Oreochromis niloticus: one gene and its partners. The protein of the gene in region 2 interacts with the protein of the main gene of each other region in a pairwise test. Links are inferred from orthologs where the notes say so. Each region holds a gene or a part of one and is shown on either strand. Other genes may lie near its edges.

What was found.
Region 1: the proteins of apoptosis regulator Bcl-2 (region 2) and bnip4 interact in a two-hybrid assay, tested with the Homo sapiens proteins (2 studies listed by BioGRID and IntAct). The link is inferred for Oreochromis niloticus from reciprocal best matches to the Homo sapiens genes BCL2 and BNIP3.
Region 3: the proteins of apoptosis regulator Bcl-2 (region 2) and bnip2 interact in a two-hybrid assay, tested with the Homo sapiens proteins (3 studies listed by BioGRID and IntAct). The link is inferred for Oreochromis niloticus from reciprocal best matches to the Homo sapiens genes BCL2 and BNIP2.

The regions. Positions count from the first base shown.
Region 1 is NC_031978.2:14,389,500-14,396,509, reverse strand, and holds the start of bnip4 (BCL2/adenovirus E1B 19 kDa protein-interacting protein 3), read left to right. Parts: upstream 1-3,924; 5' UTR 3,925-4,051; coding exon 4,052-4,094; intron 4,095-4,494; coding exon 4,495-4,666; intron 4,667-4,805; coding exon 4,806-4,866; intron 4,867-5,129; coding exon 5,130-5,236; intron 5,237-5,429; coding exon 5,430-5,579; intron 5,580-6,874; coding exon 6,875-6,911; 3' UTR 6,912-7,010. UniProt on the Homo sapiens protein: Apoptosis-inducing protein that can overcome BCL2 suppression. May play a role in repartitioning calcium between the two major intracellular calcium stores in association with BCL2.
Region 2 is NC_031982.2:16,825,796-16,833,760, reverse strand, and holds the start of apoptosis regulator Bcl-2, read left to right. Parts: upstream 1-4,959; 5' UTR 4,960-5,587; coding exon 5,588-6,136; intron 6,137-7,965. Other genes in the region: kdsr (3-dehydrosphinganine reductase), read left to right, coding at 283-474, 943-1,026, 1,166-1,249, 1,364-1,465, 1,564-1,683. UniProt on the Homo sapiens protein: Suppresses apoptosis in a variety of cell systems including factor-dependent lymphohematopoietic and neural cells. Regulates cell death by controlling the mitochondrial membrane permeability. Appears to function in a feedback loop system with caspases.
Region 3 is NC_031972.2:52,314,037-52,321,688, reverse strand, and holds the start of bnip2 (BCL2/adenovirus E1B 19 kDa protein-interacting protein 2), read left to right. Parts: upstream 1-4,550; 5' UTR 4,551-4,646; intron 4,647-4,826; exon of another isoform or gene 4,827-5,567; 5' UTR 5,568-5,649; coding exon 5,650-6,014; intron 6,015-7,652.

The DNA of each region.
Region 1 (7,010 bases), on a different chromosome or scaffold from region 2:
AATCTGCAGCAAACCTTCATTGATACTGAGTGAAGCTCTTGCAAATTTCCTACTCCGGACATCATAATTCTTCCTGATGCATCTTGTCCTGTCTGTAGTATCGATTGTATTCAATCCTTGTCTAGCCTTCCCACCTCCCTCCTTGCACACTGTTTCCACCAGCACCATCATATGCTACCGGATGATGTCACCAATCAACTCCCGATCAAGCTTGCAATAATTTCTGTCCTCATCACTCAGACACCCAACAATTAATCTCTGAATATGCTTCCCCTTATCACACACCAACACACTGGCATAACAAGGTGGATAGATGTGTGGCTTTATAGGCTCACAACTCCAGCAAAGTGTCAGTCTCTGCTTTACGTCTTTTTAAAAGGCTCTAAGAAGCAAATTTACTGCTGATATACACTAACTGGCCACTTTATTAGTTACACCTTACCAGTACTTAACTGGACCCCCTCTTTGCCTTAAATCATTGTGGCACAGATTCAGCAAGGTGTTGTAAAGATTCATCAGGATATTTTTGTTAATTTTGAAATTACAGCATTGGGCAGTTGCTGGAAATTTGCTAACTGGACATCCATGCTACAAATTTCCCACATAATTTCCGCCACATCCTAAAGCTACTCTATTGGAGATCTGGTGACAGTGGAGGCCATTTGAGCAGTGTAAACAAATTGTCTTGTTCAGGAAACCTGTCTAAGATGATATGAGCATTGCGACATGGTGCATTATCCTGGTGGAAGCAGTCATTAGAAAATGAATACACTGTGGTCATAAAGTGATGGACATTGTCACAAACAATACACAGATATTCTTTGGTGTCAAGGCATTTTCACTCAGAAAACTAAAGCTCACTGGGTATTTTCTCTTTCAGACTATTCTCTGTAATCCTTAGAGATGGTTGTGTTGGAAAATCCCAGCAGATCAGCCTGTTTCTGAAACACTCAGCTCAGCTGTCTCGCAACGTTCTCTGTTCAAAGTCACTTAAATCACCCTTCTTCCCCATCCTGATGCTTGGTTTAAGTTTAGGAGTTACTTGATTGGCTGCCTAGGTAAAGAGCCATTGAGCGGGTGCGCCTAATTGTTTAGTCTAAGTAAGTAATTTAGTGTAAGTTACAGTATCTAATTGTGAAATAAAAACATGACAACATGCAGACAGAATGAAGGAAATATCAGACAATAAAAATAATTGCCAAGGATCTCTCTTAATATTTGAAAATTAGGTCCAAGTTAAATCCAGTTAAATATTAATTTAATTTACTCAAAGTATTTTAAAGATAAAGCAAGAATAAAGCAAAATTTAATTCCAATTAGCCTAAATGTTTTTCCAGATGCTTTTTTCAAAATGTAAAGTTTACATGAAAAACAATGAATCTCTTCAGCTGGATGTTGGAGTGGTCCTGCATGCCTCTTCCAGTTATGAAGGGCTGCTTTAATCTGTCTAAAAAGGACATCATTGCATAATTGCTGCATAACAACACATTTGTAGTAAGTTACTACCACTACAGTAATTTATTAATACCATGTGATGTGGAACCAAATGAGCTAGCCTACTGGTCCTCAGAGTACCTCCTGAGGATATCGAGATGAGTTTCATTCTCACTTCTGAAGCTTGGAACTCTTTCGCTAACTAAGTAGCTAGCTAAATACTGTGCGTAATGTAGCTCTTTGGCTACAGCCGAAGATTTATAATGGAATATTTTTAAGTGCAAATCTGATACAAATGGATAAACAAAATTATAGTTTCAGTTTGTAAAATGCATGCATGGCTAACTCCGTGAAAAAGCTTGTCTGTTTTTTTTTTTTTTTTTTTAATTAAAGGACAACATAATGTGCTATCTATATTAGATACAATAGTTCGTTAATGTTTATAAATATTTGCAATGCAAAGTATTGATTACAGAAAACTGTTTGGATAGTTAACATGGCAAAATTAGAAAAAAAAATTAACACACATTTATTTATTTATATGAAGTACAGTGTCTCATATTTTCAGGGCTCTTTAGTCTCTGAAAACGTTGCTTTGGCTTGTACAGCCTTAGAGTCTAATACAGTGTCTGTGGCCTGCAGTGTTGATAGCTGCTCTCCTTGATGGCAACAGTGGATCTCACAGGTATGTCTACAATAAACACACTGCCAGGCCTAGTACAGGTGGCATTAAGATAAGCATGAGAGCCACAACCTGGGTAGGTGGTACAGATTTATAGTATTCCTTTTTCTTTGTGAAATGTTTTGATTACTGGCCTCTTCTTTTGATGTTTTTTCCTAAAATGTGGCTGATAGCAAAATTGTAGAGACTGTTTATTGGCTTGCAACCTGAGTGGAACGGTGTGTTCCCTGTTTTTGTGCCACCAGGTATTATTGTTCACACACTAATGATAGGTTTTCTTATACCACAATTTATTAATACGTTTGCAGTCTGGTTAATGCAAACAGGAATTTGGCTTTCTTCTACCCGGAAGGCAGTGTGTCTGATACAAATGGCAGATTATCTACACAGATCAGTGATAGGTTTCCAGATACAAATTTCTAGTTTAATTGAATACCCAAAATTGGGACTTCCTTCCTTGGCTCTTTTGTGAATATTCCTTATGTCTGTCTGTACACATTAGCTGATAAATCCAATTTATGCACTTTAATTTGGATATATGTTTGAACTGAGTTTGAGGTTTGAGATATTTTTCTGTATTTTTAGCTGACATCTACATCTAGTAGAGCTAAACATTAAAAACATATAAGGTGGAACATCACTAGCACCACAAACTGAAGCACCACTCACTGCATGCTTTTGCAAACTTTATTTCTCATAAGATATCAACTATTTGGTAACATTTTTTAACAAAGTATTTTATCTGTGTTTTAAAATGATGTGGTAAACTGTGTAAACCTTTGCCTGCGAGGAAGCAGTACACAACCCATAATAATAAGCCCCCACAGTAATGCAATTTAGGAAGACTAATGAGCCAAACTAATTTCCATGTCCACAAACATAATTGCATTTGCAAGTCCCAAATTTGAGATTGTAGATTTGGACTAGCCTGTTGAAGAAATTGTGAACAATAAATACAGTATAATATATGTCTAGCTGTTCAAAAACAGCATGTTGTTATTCAATTCTTGGTTGAAAGAAAAACTATACAAACGAGTAAGCATTAATTTAATTAGGTGGCTAGACTATGGAACCGACACATAGACATGCAAGAGTAAAGATCATTGATTATGAGTTTTACACTATGAAGTTGTGTAACTTTCAAGTTAGAATCCGACAACCTCCTATGAGCGGGTTGGCGACAGTGGGATGGAAAAACTCCCATTTGGCAGGAACAGGCTCAGGGAGGGGCAGTCATCTGCCACGAGCAGTAGAGGGTGAGGGAAGGGAGACAAAACAAAAGGCACCCTATAGAAGAAAGCCATAGATTAATTATAAAATGCAGATTGGTGTAGAAACACCGTCTGCAAAGCCTGTGACTTTTTGGTGACTTGTAATTTTCCCTTTTGAGTATGGCATTAGACCGGATGACCTTCTGACTATAATAAAAAAGCCTTCACTTCATATACAAAGGGTAAAAGCCAGACTTTAGAAAAGTGCATATCCTGCAGACCCAGTCAAAATGTGGGGCATTGTCTCAAGCTGTGGGATAGGGGGGGGATCTGGTCATCCTAGTTATGACTGCCCTCTGCAGACAGATGTGTATAACTGCTGCAGTGAAGGTTAAACCAAAAATGTGAGACACAGTCAGCTGACATAAGCACATTTTCTCTGTAGCGCTGCTTGCATAACATTTTCACAAATAACTCGGATACGTGTTTATCGAGGTGGGTCATAAATCGTGTCCTTGTACGCGGGCGTGAACGCGCATGAACAACACGCAGGGAGAGCGTGGCGCGCGTGCTCTCCTTTCCGAGCCAATCACATTTTAGATAAACACAATGTTGCGTCATTGTTATTGTGGTAGTTGGAGCTCCAGCTGCTTGCAGGCATTTCGCCACCATTTCGCTGATATATAGGCCTTTAAACCTGCGGAGACTGCATTATACCGCTGCAATGTCACTACCGGTGGACACTTCCTCTGACGAGAGTCTGCAAGGTGAAGTATTTACGCCGAATATACATTGCCAGTGTTGTTGTTAGCGGTAGACGATAGTTAAACACCACGAGTAAATAACGTCACCTAGCCTGACCACGTGAAAAGCCAGTCGATAGGGGTGTTTAGCTAAATAGCTAGATTGAATCTCAACTCCACATTGATTTATATACTTATAAGACGTGTAGACACAGCTATACAGGGTAGGCCATCGTTCCAGTTAGTTATTAAGGCTAATCTGCAGAGTTGACACGATGAGAATGCCTGCAAGCTAAGAACAGTCCTCATTTGTTTATTGTTCCTTTTTGCGCAGAGACTGCATGCCCATCCTAGCCGAGATAGGCCTGTGATGCAGTACTGGATAACCGGGATTCATGTTTAAAGACTTTGCATTTGATTTAAGGTTCCTGGGTTGAGCTGCATTTCAGTGGGAATGGCTCCCAAAGTGCCAGTCAACAAGGAAGCCAGGAGCAAATTCCCTCATCCAGCCTGGCGGCCGACATGGAGAATATGTTGCTAGAAGCACAGCACGAATCAGGCAGGAGCAGCTCCAGAGGAAGCTCTCAGTGCAACAGGTTGGTGGGGGTGGGCAGAAGGGGGAAGAGCAGTTCATGTTTTTCCTCTGTTTGTTGAGTAATATGAAGAAGTTGTGAGCTGAGTTTCCCTTATGTGTTTCCTTCTTCTTCTTCTTCTTCTTCTTCTTCTTCACAACAGCCCACGCAGAGCACAGACCCCGCTTCTTCTGTGGAAAGGCTCAGAGGGGAACAGCTCACAGGTACATTAAGCCTTTCTCACAGCCGAAATTTGGACATGTTATAGCAGGCAAGGGAAAGTAATCTTAATTATAATGGCGTTCCACTTAAAGGAGGTCCTTACTTAACAGCTGAGTCAGGCTTTTCCTGCTTTGACAAGTCGAAAACAATCTGTTTACTTTATATGTAGTTTTATTTGTATGCATTATTCATAACTATGTTAAAGCTGAATGTATTTTGACATGATTTTATTATTATTATTTTTAATTAATTTTTCTCCTTTTAGTCAGATGAAGATTTCCAAGAGAGAATACGGGAAGTTGAGAACCTGATGAAGAAAAATGCTGACTGGATCTGGGACTGGTCTAGCCGACCTGAGAACAGTCCACCAAAGTAAGTAGTCATATCACAATTAGAGATAATCTTTTACCCCAACTATAATTATTACATGCCATGATTTGTAATTGTGATTCATAGAATTTGAAATGATGTCTGTGTGAGCAAAGGTGCCGGTGTGACATTAAACTGGCACTCACTTGATTTTAATGTATTCAGAACAATGAAAAATTAATGTGTCGCTCTGTAGGGAGTTCCTGCTGAAGCACCCTAAGCGCTCAACCTCTCTCAGCATCAGGAAAACCAGCGTCATGAAGAAGGGAGGCTTTCTCTCTTCTGACTTTCTGAAGCTTTTCCTTCCATCATTTATCATTTCCCACATACTCGCTGTTGGCTTAGGGTAAGCAGCATCATTTAATCTTTAACTCAGGCAGTATGTGAAAACTAAAAACAACTGTACGGGAGCCTCTTCAGTTGCTGCAGGAACTGTTGACCCACTAGACCTGATGTATTCTATTTTCACATAAATATTGGGATCATTTTACATGCACTTAAAATTGGTATTTGTATATTAACTGATGACCAATCAATAATCTCTTAACATTTGCAGGATTTGCAGGATAGAAAAATGACAGTGTCATCATAACAAAACACTGAAATATATGTAAAAATAAAACAAACATAATGATGTTTAGAACAGTGCCTGACTGGATAAACAGCAGTCCAGTTCAGTGTCTGACATTTTATAGGTTTAGGTAGGATAATCCCTGAAGTATATCACCTTCAAAATGACAGAGAATATAATTGTCTTTATTTAGGAGCCTGTGGTTATTATTCTATAGAGCATTATTTCAACACATCTTATTTTGGACTTTTACATTAAAAAACTACCACATAAACTCACTGGCCACCTGATTAGGTACACCTTAAACAAATTGGTGGAAATGTTCTTCAGAGATTTTGGTCCATATCAGTGATGCTCTGCTGGTATGAAGGGGCCCAAAGTGTGCCAAGAAAATATCCCCCATGCCATTACACTGCCACCACCACCATCCTGAAAACTACAGGATGGATCTTTCATGTTGTTTATAGCAAATTCTGTTTTATAACAAATGTTTTTCCAATTTCTTTTTAATGTCCAGTTTTGATGAGCAAATGCAAATTAAAACCTTAGTTTCCCATTCTAAGCTGGAGAGGCAGCGCTTCTGCATACCTTGCTTGTAATGAGTTATTTGAGTTACTGTTGCCTCGCCATCAGCTTGAGGCAGTTTGGCCATACTCCTCTGGCATCAATAAGGCATATTCAACCAGAGAACTGCTGTTCAAGTTTCTCTTTTTCAGGCCGTTTTCTGAAAACCCTAGAGATGGCTGTGTTGGAAAATCCTACTTGATCAGCAGATTCTGAAACATTTAGAACAGCCTATCTGGCACCAGTAGCCATGCCACGTTCAAATTCCCTTGAGTCACCTTCTCCATTCTGTTGCTTGATTTGAAATTCAGCAGGTCATCTGGGCCATGTCTGCATGCCTTAATGTTTTGAGTTGCTGCCATTGGCTGAAAAGTTGTACCTAATTTGGTGGTCATTGAGTTTGCATTTTACCCGGTTAAAAAACTATTTCAGTAGATACATATAGTCAGTTGTGTTTATGTTTTAAAGCTGCATCTTAATTTCTCTGTTTTCTTCTTTCCTGGTAGGATATATATTGGAAGGCGCCTAACACATCCTAAATAGGATCGTGACGCTTGGCACTACCGCATCAACGTCATGCAACCATCTTGGCATGCCTTAAAACGGGACCTTCTAATGATCAAGGGAAATGTAGTAGCCATG
Region 2 (7,965 bases):
TACTTAAAATTATTGGCTGTCGACATAATAAATGTGCCCCAAAGCAGGAATGGGGTCTTTTGAAATGAGCGTCATACATTAAGTTCTTGTTAGAAAAGGTTTGATTTGTGACTTGGTAAGAAATCGTCAGAATTTTTGAAGAAGTGGCTAAATTTATGGCCTGCTGTGAATCAAGACACTGTGAACTGCTCAGGTTTTAAAGTGACTGAAGCTGCCTACAATAATGTAATGTACCATGGACACTCTGGTTATAGTATGTATTAATGTAGCCTTCGTTTCTAGAAATTGATGGAAGTGAACTACCTGGGCAGCGTTTACCCAACACGAGCCGTCATAACCACCATGAAGGAGCGAAGAATGGGCCGCATCATGTTCGTTTCCTCCCAGGCGGGCCAGATTGGTCTGTTTGGTTACACTGCCTACTCCCCATCTAAGTTTGCCCTGCGAGGCCTTGCAGAGTCACTGCAGATGGAGGTATGTGTTTTGCAAAAATGGCCTACATACATGCTTGAAGCAATTCTTAGCATTCCTTAGCATAGAATACGAACGACATTCCACGACCAGAAGTAGGCAGGACTGAAGATAAACTTTTCTCAATTTCCTTCAACTGAAGCGACTACCAAGGAGAATGACATTTGATCTGGGAATAAATGCATTAGAGGTTCACCTAAACAGCCAGAGCCTGGAGTGTCCACAAGCACCCAGCCATCATATGCAACAAGCATATCTCTTGCAGTGTGTTTGCAGCTTGAGTGAAGATGATGATAAAGGACATTTCACTAGCGTCAGTGCTGTAATGATTATACTTTTTCTACGTATAGGTAGCATTCAGGCGAACTTTTATTGTCAAAGAGCTGTTGAAATGTTAACGTATGTAGTTAGTTGTCATGGTCTCAGTAGTGGAATTGCTAAGGCAGTTATTGCTTTGTTTTCCTTCTGCAGATAAAACCCTACAATATCTACGTGACTGTGGCATACCCCCCTGACACTGACACTCCAGGACTGGCTGAAGAGAACAAGACAAAAGTATGCAACAGTACAGAGAAATACGTCCTTTTCTTACTTCCTGTTTTTTTTATGTAAATTTTATTGCTGCTTAAATGCTTGTGGTCGTACCCCCACCCCTCTCTCCCTCTCTCCCTCTTTATCCGCTTTCCTCTCCCAGCCTCTGGAGACCAAATTAATCTCTGAAACCTCTGGAGTTTGTCAACCAGACCAAGTGGCCAAAATCATTGTCAGGGATGCAGTGGTAAGAAGCTCGAATCACATTCAGTGCCCAGTTTAAAAATAAGATGTGTGCTCTGTATTTTGTTTGTTTTTTCCTTTGGCAAATGTATCTGCTTGTTTTTCTTTCATCTCACAGCAGGGGAACTTCAACAGCTCTGTCGGTCCAGATGGTTACATGCTATCAGCGCTCACCTGTGGAATGTCACCCGTCACCTCCATCACAGAGGGTCTCCAGCAGGTACAGCCCTGTACATGATATGAAATTGCAGGAGGCAGCGTTCCTCAGCAGATCTGCAATTTTAAGCCTAACCTTTTTATTTTGAAATTCCCGCACAGATTGTCACCATGGGATTGTTTCGGACCATCGCACTTTTTTACCTGGGGAGCTTTGACAGCATCGTGCGCCGCTGTATGATTCAAAGGGAGCAGTCAAAAGCGGCCAATAAGAGGGAGTAACTGCAGCCTTACCTTCACCACACCCCGATGCCCCCAACCCTTTACCCACTGCCCTCCCAGCCAGTCCCTTCCTCCAGCTGTACAAGTGCACAACCATAGGTGGGGGTGGGGTTTGAAAAATAAAAGGCCATGTCAGCATTTCTGATGTCAACTTTAGCAGATGGAATGGAAGAAAGTGGCAGATGTTTACGTGTCTACTCCACAGACTTGATAGCCATTTAGATGTATTTTTTTCTCCCCTGGTGACTTCAGTTTAATGTGTCCACCTGCTTCTTTTTGTGGAAGCAGCCTTACTTTAGAGGAAAGAGGGGTGACTAAAAATCCCACAGCCTGGGTTTTTTTTTTTTTTTTTTTTTGTTCCCACAGAGAAGAAAAGCAACAGCCCGTCTAACCGGTTGTGCCAAATATGGCCTGAATTTTTTTTTTTTTTTCCCCACCAGAGGCTATAGCGAAAACAGAATAGTTGTTACTCTCTTTTTCATCATATTGTGCCGCATGTATCAGAGATTTCCATCTTTTAGAGAGTTTTTACAGTTTTCACTATATAAGCCCTTTCTTTCCCACCTTTTACATACTTCAGGTCTTTGCAGGCAAAGATCCTTCCCTTTTTTCTCTCTCTCTTTTTTTTTTTTTTTTTTTTTTTCTTTGACTGAATAACCTCTGTGTTTAAAAGCGGTCGTGACCCACAGTGTTTTGTTTATGCTGCAGGATATTTTTGTTTGTGTTTGTGCGTGAACTGAGGTCATACATTATACGACAGTACTCTTCAGTGATATCAAAGGGCAGGAGAGAGCTTGTTATGTTTGTCTTTAATTTTTTTAAATCTATAATGCATAAAATAATCTCCACATATTATCATTATTATTAATAATAGTGATAATATTCCAAAACTTTACATGCAGCGTTGTCGCTGAAAACCGTGTGATGTGAAAGTGTGTTTGCTGTGACTGAGCCGACCACCTCCGGAAAGAGTAAAGCCATTCAAAGTTTTTGTCTCGGGAATAAAGACAGCAAAAACGTTTTCCTCGTCATTCCAGCTAAATGAAGAAAGTAAAGCAGGTACTATGGGTTGAAGCCATGAAGTCGTAAGATTAGGGTGGGAGGGGATACACAAACAAATAAACCAGCACATAATTTTAAGTTTCACTCGTGCACTTGTCAGTTTAATTTAAAAAAAACAAACAAAAAACACTAATAAGTTGCTAAAGGAAGCATGAAGCGTATCATTTTTTACTTGCAGTTTTGTGTGTCAGTGCACATTCTCAGCCACCCCCAGTGAAGATGCATAATCTGTCAGGTTGGTGTAACTCAGAGATGGGCGCGACTCGCTGGATCGAGTCATGTCTCTGTACGTCTAGTGAGGGCGCTGGTGAGTCATCTTATATAATGGCCAAACTTTTGGAGGAACAAGAGTGGAAGTGTTATCCCTCATCTCTACGATGCTCTTTTTTTGTTGTTGTGTTGTTTTGTTTTTTACATGCACTGACGCTGTCGTGCACTGCTGGGACTTCAAAACTCTCTAGATTACAAAATATCGATTCCCTTCTGATTTGTGTCAACTCTTAGTTACCATCTGACTTTCTTATTGTTTTGGATGCAAAAGGAAGAAGAAAATACAATGTTGACTCTTGCAAGTCTTCCTTTGGTCCAGTCGGAGAGAATGTACTTTATAGCAAAGCGATACGAATCAGAACGTAGGAACATTATTTTTTAAATACACCAATATTTGAATGCCAAAATGTGTTAAGACAATTTCTTGAGATCGCAGCACATTTCTTTGTGGTTTATTTTGATGTCGCTGCTCTTTTGATCTTAGTGTTACTTAATAAAAGCTGGATAGCAGCATGTGGCCCATTCTACAGCCTTAAGACGTGACTACTGATGAAGCGAACGCTATGAGAGTGGACCCGTCCGCAGAACAATGTGACTTCATACATTAGTGGATGATTGGTTTACCGGGTGATTTTTTTTTTTTTTTTTTTTTTTTTTTTTGTGACTTATTTGGTGTGAAATGCCAACTGTTTGGGGGGTTTTGTGTGTTTGTGTGTGTTTGGTCAATTTCTAGTGTTTCTATGACAAAAGAAGCCTTACTGAAATCCAAGACATGAAAGTGAGAATGGATGACTCATGTTTGATGATGTTCTCATTTGATATTGGTTAAAGGCGTACTGTCCCGCACTTCAGAGCTTTCCATAAATGTACATTTATTGCTTTAAGAAGGTTTTTCTTTTTTTTTTTTTTTTTTACCTTGAGGTAGCAACACATTGATGGATAGAACATGTAGCTCATGTAAAAGCAGTTTTGTTTTCACTAACACAACTTTAAGCTATGCAAATCAAGCCTCTGCTAACAATATGTTTAAACATACAGTAAAGATTTAAGTTCTGTAAGAGTCACGCTAGTTTCCCTCGTTTAATGGTGTCATTGTCGGATGCTCAATGGATTTAAAAGTCTTGAACATGTCATACTGCACTCTTTGGTTTCACGCTTTTTTTCTGTTTTCTTTGCTTTATACTCTTTCTGCCAAAAAAGCTTAACACCTTCACCTTGTGTGCCATTGAAAGAAAATGTGAGGAGTGGAACATTTCTTTGTCTTATTTTCTTACATGATAAACTAAATAAATACCTGTGAAGAAAACCTAAATCCTTTTACTCCTGGGTGTCCTTGTCTCTTCTTAAATTGCTCCAGACCTCTTAGACTGAACTTGCCTTAAGAGGGGGGGGGAATTAAATTAATCTCAGTATGATCGAGGTTCATAAGTTTTGACAGTGCAGGGTTTGTGGAGGACTGAGGACGTTAAGTATTCTGTTTGATAGAGGATGACATTTAATTTTTTCATAAGGGAACTTCCCGAAGCAGCAGCAGCTCTCGGGTTTGCAGAGTGCAGGACTTTAGATGCTTCGTTAGACCTGTTGGAGAATAAGTAGATGACAAATAGGGGAGATGCTTTAAAAAAGATGAGAAAAGTTTAAAGAAGACAGGGAAAATGTAGAGTGGTGCATCAGTTTTGCACTTGTAAGGTCTGTGTCCACAAGGGGGTGGCTGGACTACATCAAAGCAATCCCTCGCTGGGGTGGTCCTCTGCCCCTAACCCTGTGATCTTTTAAGATTTCTGTCTTCTATCATAAAAAATATCTAAATCTTAAAAATATTCTTGTTTATATAATTTTCTGGGTAACGTGGTCTGCCTTAAAACGAGGACGCAGTATGCAGTAATAATAATATGGCCTATAAATGGTTTGAGCGCAGTTCTTGGTGTGCACTTGGAGCAGCCAAAGGAAAGACTTTCCGCAGCTGACGTCAGGCATACCTCACTAAACAGTGCGGCCCACTAGCGGTGAACAGGGAGCTGCTTCGGAGGATATGTGGAGCAATCGTGGAAGAGGACTCCAGTCCGACCTTGTCTGGCGCACAGTCCCGCGTCTGGTTCGTGCGTAAGGCTGCTAAAACAGTTGGCCGCCTTTAAAACCCCTTCAGGCGTGAACAACTTTGGCTTTCATTCATATTTTTTTTTTAATCGCAACACATCCACGTCTGGGTGATGTGCACAGAAATAGAACAACACTACTCCCAACCTCTTCCGCATATTGGATTTCTATGCAAAGAGAAGGTCGCCAGTGTCCCTCCAAGGATTCGGGAAATGAAGACTGCTGCTGACACGGAACCAGCCTGTTTTGACTTCTAGTGCGTGTTTCTGTGCAGTTTTCTTCAAGGGATTTTCCCCGAGTTCACGAGTAAAGTATCTCCTCTCTGTGTGGGATAATTCGCTGCATTATCTATTTGAATACAGCCCCAGCTTTTTGGACGAGCCTGTGCAGAGCATTGTACGGTGCACACATTTGGTCAAAATGCATTTTATTTAGGATAACCACTGGATATACAAAGTGCCAAATTTGAGCCGGAATGGCGAACGAGTATAATCGCAATATTGTGGAAAAGTATATCTGCCATAAACTCTCCAAGCGGGGATACGTGTGGGGATTTCGCGTTGTCCAAGAAGAAGATGCTGCTAATAACGGATCGATAACTGACCCTCCACCGACTTTGGTCCACCGGTGCCGAGAAGCCAGCACCGGGCCTGACGGCGAGAGCAACACCCACCTCTGCAGACGGCTCCCACAGTCCGACCCACACGCAGGCATCCACAGAGTCCTGCGCGAGGCTGGAGATGAACTTGAAAGACTGTACCAGCCGGACTTCACGGAGATGTCGCGGCAGCTGCATCTCACCTCCGCCACGGCGCAGAGGAGGTTCGCCGAGGTGATAGACGAACTGTTCCGGGACGGAGTGAACTGGGGCCGGATTATTGCTTTCTTCGAGTTTGGGGGCACGGTGTGCGTGGAGTGCGCTTCCAACGAGGGGATGTCATCCCAGGTGGACAACATCGCAGACTGGATGACGGAGTATTTAAATGGACCTCTTAACAGCTGGATACAAGATAACGGGGGATGGGTATGTCTGATTCCGTGTAGTTGAGCGCTTTGCAGCAGTGTGCCAAGGGTTCGCAAAAGTCCTCTTTTAACTGTGATTAAAAGGAATTTCAGTGAGTGAGTTCGGTCAGTGTAGGCCTACACGTTTGATTGAGCTGAAAAGTGCATTTTGATCTGGCTTAACGGGGCTCAATATCGAAACCACATGTGTAGCTGATCATTAAAAAAAGAAAAGTCCCTTTTAAGATGATCTCGTGACGCACGACAGGCAACGAGCGAGATGAACGGCTTTACTTTACTTGCTCTAACTGGCTGATCTCGTTGACTGTTAAACTTACTCGACCAATCAAACAGCGGTTTCTCTATCACACCTCCCGACGCCTCTCTATAAAAAACCCGCCCTGTCAACTGTAGGAGCAGAGGCAGACGCGCAGCTGTCATTGGAGCACAGGGGTTATTATCTAAGGGGAAGTAAAAGCTTAGTTATAAAAAGAAACAGGATTCTGCGTGTGGTGTTGGAGAGAGAGGCCATTTCACCATCCACCTGTATCTGAATCTTCATGCACGAAAGTGCTTCAGTCCCGCTGTCACGTGATGCATTGCAGGCCCTCATTCTTGCAGAAGGGAGGAGGTCAGACACATGTCAGCAAAGAGCAAACTATTGAATTAATGTGTTTAGGCCTCTGGGCATAACTGGACAGGGTTCAGCTTATCAGAGGCCTTTTTTTGGCACAACACACACCTGGCTGAATGCATGCCCACACTGAATCTGAAACAAGCATGCATTGTCATATTCATTTTTCAGGTTTTTGTTACAGCTGCAAACTCTCCTGCAAGAAAAAAGGGGGGTTGCTGTGCACCTCAGTAGTCACCAAAACTGACTTGCAATGAATTAACCTTTAATTAGCCGAGGTGCTCTTAATGAGAGCATAACGTTTGCACTGCCTGGTTATCTTAGCTGGAAGGTATCATAAAAACGGGGCGTGTGTTGAGTGGGCTTATCAATGATTCATATCGAATGTTTCATCTCAAAGGATAGGACCGTTTAACATTCCCCTTGAGTCTGCCTTGCCCCTGGAGGTGGCAGGTTGTGCCACATATCAAAGGGAGGCAACAGAGGGAGGGCCCTCCAAGAACACAGAGTGCTAATCTGCAGCCACTGTGTTTAACATGCCGTCCTCTGTTTGCATCTTGGTTGGGACTCTTTTGTCTGCCTTTTTCAGACCTGTGCCTTGAAGCTGGCGCAGACTGGGGCCGCAGAGATGCCTGCTCGGGGTCTCTGGAGCCCACTGTAGAATAATGTAGGTCATCATAGTTTGGGTTTTACAGCTGGGTGGAGATGACTGTATCTGTGCATCCACTGGAGAGAGACAGACAGAGAGAGAGAGAGAGAGAGCAAGAGCACAGTTCTTTAATCCAAAGGATTATTTAGGATTATTTGAAAGCATATGTCTGCAGTATGGGGAATGAATAACCTCATCCAATTAGTTTTAAGCTCAAAGTAGGCTCTAAAACAGTTTAATCCTGAATATGTTAGTGTTAGCTCAGTTTCTGTTGTAGCTTCCGCATATGCAGCCATGCACCGGTGTTGATTTATATTCATCTGAACGGGTGTCAGGTAGGGAATTTCCTGAGGTGTGTGCTTCAGTTATTGCATGACCTTTAATAACTGACGTTGCAAACACAGCGTTGTCTGTACTCTGGATTGGGTTTGTGAAAACTGGCTTTGCAGATGTTGAAATGTAATAAAAGTCAACTGTGTTTTCAGTCTGTGAAACAAAGCTGGGGGTTTTTTGCTATGTTTTGTCTCCTCTGGAGCCGAAACGACGGCCTGTTTTACACTGACGTGTT
Region 3 (7,652 bases), on a different chromosome or scaffold from region 2:
AGTTTAATAAAAAATTTGAATATGTGGTGAAACTTAAAATTCATAAGAGGTGTGCATGCTTTTTTTTTCTATTCACGGACATTTTTAGCTTTTTTCCTTATGAACCATAGAGGAATAATGTCATGCAGCTGTAGAGCAGGAGATCTGCAAAATACTAAACATAGTTCTTAAACTGCCATTACTATGCCATTACACCTTGGCATTTACTGGGGCATTTCTCGACCACATTTTGCATGGTGCACACGATATTCCTCACGTGATCAAAAGGGAGGCATATTGAGGGAAAGCAGTCAAAGATCTAGCTCCACTCAATTAGCTTCAGCAAGATAATTAATCAGTTCAGTATGCACATCCAAGTCTCAGAGGCGTCTTTGAGATAATTGTTCTCATTGACTTGAATAATTATTTGTTTGCTGATTTAATTATTTTCACATTTGGAAAACAAATGAATGCGTGCTGGTACATACTTTGGATCTCTTTTTTTTTCTTTTGATGTATGCAGGTGAGTGTCAGACTAAAAGAATGACTGAAAACTTCTTTTCAGAAAATATCTCTTGAGAAATTATCTGGAACCAAATTCAGACAATTGTGTTTTTTTAAACCATAACCTCAACGCGAAGACAGTCAATAAAACATAAAATGTTTCTTCCTTGTGGCATCAATACAAACTACGATGAATCAAAGGCTAATATTTCTCAGACAGGAGGTCATCTCAGGGTTACAGACACAGAGTCCTCGTACACTGACTGGCACGGTGAAAACAATTGTCAGAGTCCTCGGTTCACACCATTACAAGTGCGACTGAGACCTTGCGGCTACTGTAGCAAATAGCACAAATTATGGGGGCCATTTTAATAGCAGTCTCTACTATTTATCATGCTGTTTTAAATGTTTTGCTCATTTGTTTCCATTAAATATTTCATCTTCCCTTAAATATTCATTTAACTTCCTCTTTAAATTTTTTACCAGTCTCTTTGCAGTTGCTATCTTCTTGCCTCCCTTTTAGGCTTTGCAATCATAAATAATTATTCATCTACACCCAAAAAGAGATTGCATAAAACATGCACATGAATCCTTTTTGTCTTTTCTCATTAGTGATATACTTCGAGTAGCCTAAATACTTCCCGCTACCCCACTTATGGAAATTGGTCGGAGAACCTTCCTAATGATTCTGCTTCACAAATAGGATACAGCCTGCATTTCTGATCCTAACATTCATCCCATCCTTTCAGGATGAAAGGCGGGGTCGGCTGCAGATCCCAAGTTTGTGTATTACTTTTAAAAGGAGGACTAATCCTGACATATTATCCATCAGACAATGCTCTTTTAGATTTTACTGTTTTAACCCAATGCTGGGCTCCGGTGGACCTACTGTACTCTGAATGCCTGCTTCCTGGTACTTAACTGTATATTGAAGAAAAAGATATACCAAAAAAAAGAGAGTGCAACACAAATCCACAGCATTTGGATTTCCTAAAATATTTCCAGAAGAAAATTATAAAAAAAATAAAAAGTCATCACATCATTTATAAATATTTAAGATAAATTGGTATTCCTTGGCTCAGTATATTTTCCTTGGCTAAACAGCCAACATTTGTCTTAATTTGTTAGATAATTTCAACTTGCCTTATTAGCATGTAGTGCCATGTTGGAAGGTGAAAGGGAAGCATAAACTCTCAATTTGACTGGATTATCCTTTTGTGATGAGGCCTAATGATCCAGCAGAGTAAATAGCAAAGTGTTAATTAGAAATTACAGTGAATGATCCGCTGCACACAGAGGAGGTATTAATCGGGCTGCATCATTATATTATACTCAGAGTTGTTTTTTCTTTTCTTGTAAAAATAATATATCTAAAAAAATATATATATATTATTTCCGATGTAGCTAATATGCTCCAAAAGTGCCAACTGACCAGCAATGCCTATAAATAAAACCACCCCTAGGTGTGACTGAAATTATATTCTACTGAAATTAACTATTTTCAAAAATATGTACATGCTGTTCACTAATGTAATTATTCCTCAATTCGTATGTCTTTCCTAATTTGTTTTTTAATTTGGAAAATATTATGGAAAGGGCCTTGTAATTGTGGCTGCAGCTGGCAGTTACTTCTGAATAAATCTCAGACTTTGCCTAATTTGGATGTTGCACAGTTCATGGCAGATTTTAATCAATAAAGGCGTCCCCCTAAACTACAACATTTAAGTAAGCATTTGCCTCCACCTAGTGGTAAATGTTGGTTACTGAGGCTAGAGCTGCCAATAAATATTCAATGACTACTGTAAAGACTGGAATTCTGCTGGTAGAAACCACATATTGTTTCTATTATATGTCATGAATAATTAAAAGATTGTATTTTTTTTTATTTGTAATAGTTTTCGATTTTTTAATTATGTTAATACAATAACATCTTTAAATTATTTCTTTGAACTGATCTTTTTCCCAGGTGAACTGATTGTACAGTATGCATCTTTAATGACTTTAACAAACAAGTACTGGGTGCACAAGTTTGAATATAGTTTGGATTTTCTCTAATCCACACAGCCAAAAGTATACATACAGACTCTTAACATATACATAAACTTCATTTTTAATTGTATTTTTAATTTATTTTTTAAATAAATGGTGCTGAAGGTTCTCATTAGTGATCACAGTTGACTACAACTGCTAATTTCTCATCACCAGCATAAAAAGGGTTTCTTTGAGAGCACTAATTGGACCGAACAACACTTTTAAAATGGGAATGTCTAAGGAGCTCAGTGAAGAAGGAAAGTTGTAGATTTACATAAGCTGCAAAGGTCTTGGGGACCTTTCTAAGCAACTGCAGACTCCAAGATCATCAGTTTAAACAAGTGCAGTGCAGGTTCTTTGGATGTGTCACCACTTTGCCAAAATCTAGAAGAAGTGCCCAAACTGTCACCCTCAGATAAGAGGAAATATGTTAGGATGTTCAAGAACAACCCAAGAACAAACAAAACTCCAGCCTGTGACGGTGCTGACCAAGAAGGGAGCCTCTGCTCCAAAATCAACACCTTTCAGCTTGACTGAAATTTACAGCTGCCCACATGGACAAGCCAAATGCCTTCTGGAGAAAAGTCTGGAGAAACACTATCTGACCAAAAAGATTGATCTATGTGATCACAGTAAAGAGCTATGTTTGAGTTTCACAATAAAAGTGAAACTTTCAAACCTAATAACACTGAACCAGCTGTCAAACTTGGTAGTGATATCGTCATGTTCTAGGATTGTTTTGCTATCAGTAGCACTGGTACATTGCACAAAGTGAAAGAAATAATGCAGGAGGACTACCTCAAAATTCTTCAGCTTCATCTCAAATCAACAACTGTTGATTGTTGAAACGTGGACACAGTTGGGTGTTCTAACAGGACAATGATCCAAAGCATGCATCAAAGCTGGTTTTGGAATGGATAAAGCAAGTGGTATGACCTTTCCAAGGCTCTGACCAAAACTCTATTGAAAATTTGTGGACTACGTTTGAAAACTGGGTCAGTGCCAGGAAACCAACCAATTTAAATGAACTCTTTGCCAAGAAAGAGTAAAATAAATTCAAATTCAAACTTGTGCACCCAATTTTTGTTTTTTAAAGTCATTAAATATGTAGAAGGTAGAAAGCTGATAAAACAGAGAGGGCTTCTAAAATACCAATGCCATTGCATTATACACAGGACTGGTTCAGTTTACTTTGCAATATAGTCAGCTACTGACCTCAAGTGACATTATTTCATGTAGTTAATAACTAAATCCATGAACTTTGAATTTCTTTGAAAGAGATGGATAGAGCTTCAAAAAATTTGACTTACACAATAATGCTTTTCTTTTCTATGCAAACAGAAGAACTTTGCATATTCAGCATTTACAGTTAGTCAAACCAAATTAGCCTTGCAAAAACAGAGGCCTACTATACAAGACAAGTCACAAGTATGCACTTCAACAGCTTCATTATTTCATTGGTAATGATGAAAAAAGTCATATTTTAAATATTTACTGAAAGGATAATCAAGTAATCACTGACGAAGTGACTATAATCCGATTACATATCTTTTTAAAAATGAATTGCGCTCAGAGTTACTTATTTGTGTAACCTTATTAGCTAAGAGATTATTAGCTAGATTAGGTATAAATGTTACTGCCCTAATGTAATGAAATCTATCATAACACAAACTCTTTTTACAGTGTTGCCTTTTCAGACACAGTCTCATTAATGCTTATTAAATAAATTGAATAAAAATAAAAAGTAAAAAATAAAAATACTTTGGCTTGACTGACTAACTAGCAGTTACTTCCCACTGTAAGAGAGAACAGTGCGATTCCTAGTATAAATCATTACACGAAATCAACACGTTGCGGTTTTTAACCTTTAACCCACTGCTGCACAAATCACTAATGGGTAGCGAGATGAAAGCAAGAAATACAGTTTGGACAACAGAGCTGGATTAGAGACGTGTGTGAACCAGACTGTGTAGTCTATACCGTGTCATTTCTATGTTTCCAGTATCAGCAGAGGGCAGTGAAGCTTGCTAGGGTAGAGACGCTTCTGCGGCTCATGGAAGGACCATTGCTATTAGGGGTGCCAGATTTGCTCGTTTTCCACGGACCAGAGCAGTCTGAGCCAATAACTCTAGGTATATTACGTTGTTTTGTTTTTTATCATTATTATTACATACTTTTTATCTACATTTTACTAACTTTATTTTATGTGGGACACCCAAAAAGAAGTTTCAGTTTTGAAAATATAATATCATTATGTAACTCGTGGTCGCAGCGGGCCAGTTAAAAGAAAAGCTTACAGTGCACCAAAATGACATTTTAATTAAATTTAGCGTGCTTTTGTGTGCTTGCATACAAAAAATAAATTCATAAATTTTACACGTAACCACGAACTGGGTCGTTTATGCCGAAGAACCTGCAGGAAACACAACTGGCAACTCCGCTGACCATAAACTGTATGCATATACACTATGATAGAGCTAGGCGTTGTTAGCAAACAGTTAACTTCTGCCGTTTAGTAGCCGAGGCTCGTGTGTCGGCAAATTAAAAGGAAGTAGTCTTTGTATTTAACATGGGTCCAAGAAAAGACTGTCCTTACGTTGAGCTGTAGTTGATAACTGCCGAAATATTTCTTTTTTAGCTCATAGACGGCGTTAATTGGAATACAAAGCTTGTTTTGTCGTGGCTAAACTTTGCTAGCTCCAAAGCTAGCCTGACTGAATGTGTTACGTCCACCGGAGAGCCCTCTGGACTTGGAGGAAGGAAGGAAGGAAACTGATAAGTGGGATAACTGCGCACCTATGCTCCTGCAAAGCTAGAACTCTATAGGACTCTTGAGTTAACACCGTGACGCATTTAGAAAAGGTGACTATCTGTAGACTTAGCGTGATATTTGACACTGTTTGGTTAATGAGATATGCTGTTAGTTGGCATAGCTAGCTGCTAGCGCCACGTCTCTGGGCTAGCTGTACAGCAGACGAGAGCTATCCTGTTAGCCACAAACTTCCAAAGAAGTTGTGTAAGTCAGATTTTTCTTTCTGGTTGATTTGGTCAAGGAGCTGAACGGTGATTAAAGCATTTCACGGTCGGACTCTTTAACTCTGATCTGCTGTACCACCGGGACAACCGGAGAAACTTATGGCATCGGATGTGATTGAGAGTGAAGCGGTGCTGAAGGGTGTAAGTGATATGAATTTGAACAATAGCAGCCCAGATACTGTCACACCCAGGGGGACTCTTGAGGATTTGGGAAACAGACAGACGTCCAGCCCGTCATCATCCGGTGTATCGGGAGAAGGCGATGACGAGGAAACAGACGAATTGCAAAATACCACAGCTTCTGCTCCAGAAAAGGGCGAAGAGGAGTTTCAAGACAGTCTAACCAAAACAAGCGGTACGCCACAGGAAAGGAAGACTCCAGACAATGTGCAGAAACAACGAGGAAAAAGCTCTACCCCGGTGAGCGTTCCCCAGCCACGCTCACCAGCTGGAGCCACTGGAAGGTGTGTATTTGGACATTTTTGTGTTTTCCTTACATAGAAGCAAACTATGAAAACATTAGCACAGATATGGTTTAGTCACTCCCAGAGTCAAACGATACTTATGTCGGTGGTTCTAAAGTGGACGTAGGTGTACATGTGACTGTGTTTGTGTGTCTGCCTTTGTGTTGGTTATAGCGCAGTGTAACGACCTGTGTCAGTTGGGATAGGCCAAAGAGCGTTGTATCATGGCCTACAGTCTGTGAAATGTATCTCATACATGTCTCTCATGAATGATAACAAGCCATTTTCAGTCAGAAAAGTATCATAAAGTAGAAGCTGAAATCAGTTTTTGGCAGAGTGACTTTTATATATCCTTTTATTTATTCTGGTAGAAAGTCTCGTTGACATTAAAAATTCAATTTTCAAGAGGGAAGGGGGAATTGCAACAAATGTAACATTTCTTTAAAGCTTTTTTAATTGGCTGACTGGCTGGGTTGGTTATAATATAGAACACAGAGTAGGTACAATATTGCAGAATCATACAACCAGGTCATTACTTTATTTTATATATAACCCCCTTTTTTAAAATTCTGCTCATGACAGCCTGTTCATCAACTTAAGTAAAGATATTAGATGCATAAAAAAGAACACAGAGAAATTGGCAGTCACTTTTTAGCACAACACTGGTCCTCTTCAGGAGGATGTGTCAAAGGTATGGATTTCAGAATTGACAAGCAACCTATCCTTAACCATTTTTTGTCAATACATATTGTTTACTGGGAGCCAATCACTCCTGCGTCTTCATTCCACTTCTCTTATTAGATATTTGTCAGTAAAGTCTTTTGTGCAGCAAAAAATAAGCAACTTGACATGGTGTGGATACTCGAGCTCTAAAACATTTCTAAACTATTTTTAAAAAATAATTAAAAACACACACCTATAAGTACAATTTTTTTGCAGTAATCTTGAAAATTGCTTGTCCAGGAGTCAACTTCCAAAAATGTCATCATTTAACCTCAGAGTTCATCTGCATCTTTGTAGCACTCGTATTGTGCTCTAAAAATATTTGTTTTCAACATCTTGCCAGAAACTGTTGGAACCCAGCCATCCCGAAACTAATTCAGGACCATTAGATTACTTTGGAGATCTTAAGTTCAGAAAAAGCTGTTTCAGTTTAGCCAAACTGTTCATATACAAAGGTTTGTCTAACTTCTGAACTGGTTAAGATGTGAAATTGATAGTTTTCTCTACTTATAGATATTAGTGCACTTTGCTCTACACCTCTCAGGGCTGTATTTTTTAACGCTTGATCAGCCATTTTATTGGAAGTATTGTGAATATTAATTGGAGGGAGCTATAAAGCTAATAAAGAATAGTAACAGACTTAAACCTTTCACATAACTAAAACAGGAAAAAAACGCAGCAAAAATGAATGTAGATGCAACGATAATCTTATAATAATCTTGTATTTGTTTCATTTATGTTGAAGTTATGAATACAAAAAATGACTTCTCATTTAACTGGTAACACATTTAATTTTGCCTTGAGCTTTATTTAAACAAATTAGCATTCCATCTTTAAAGTTTTCCATAGTTGAACCATCCCCCACTGATATCTATATTAATTTAGTTCTTTATTATGCTAAGTATAATAATTACA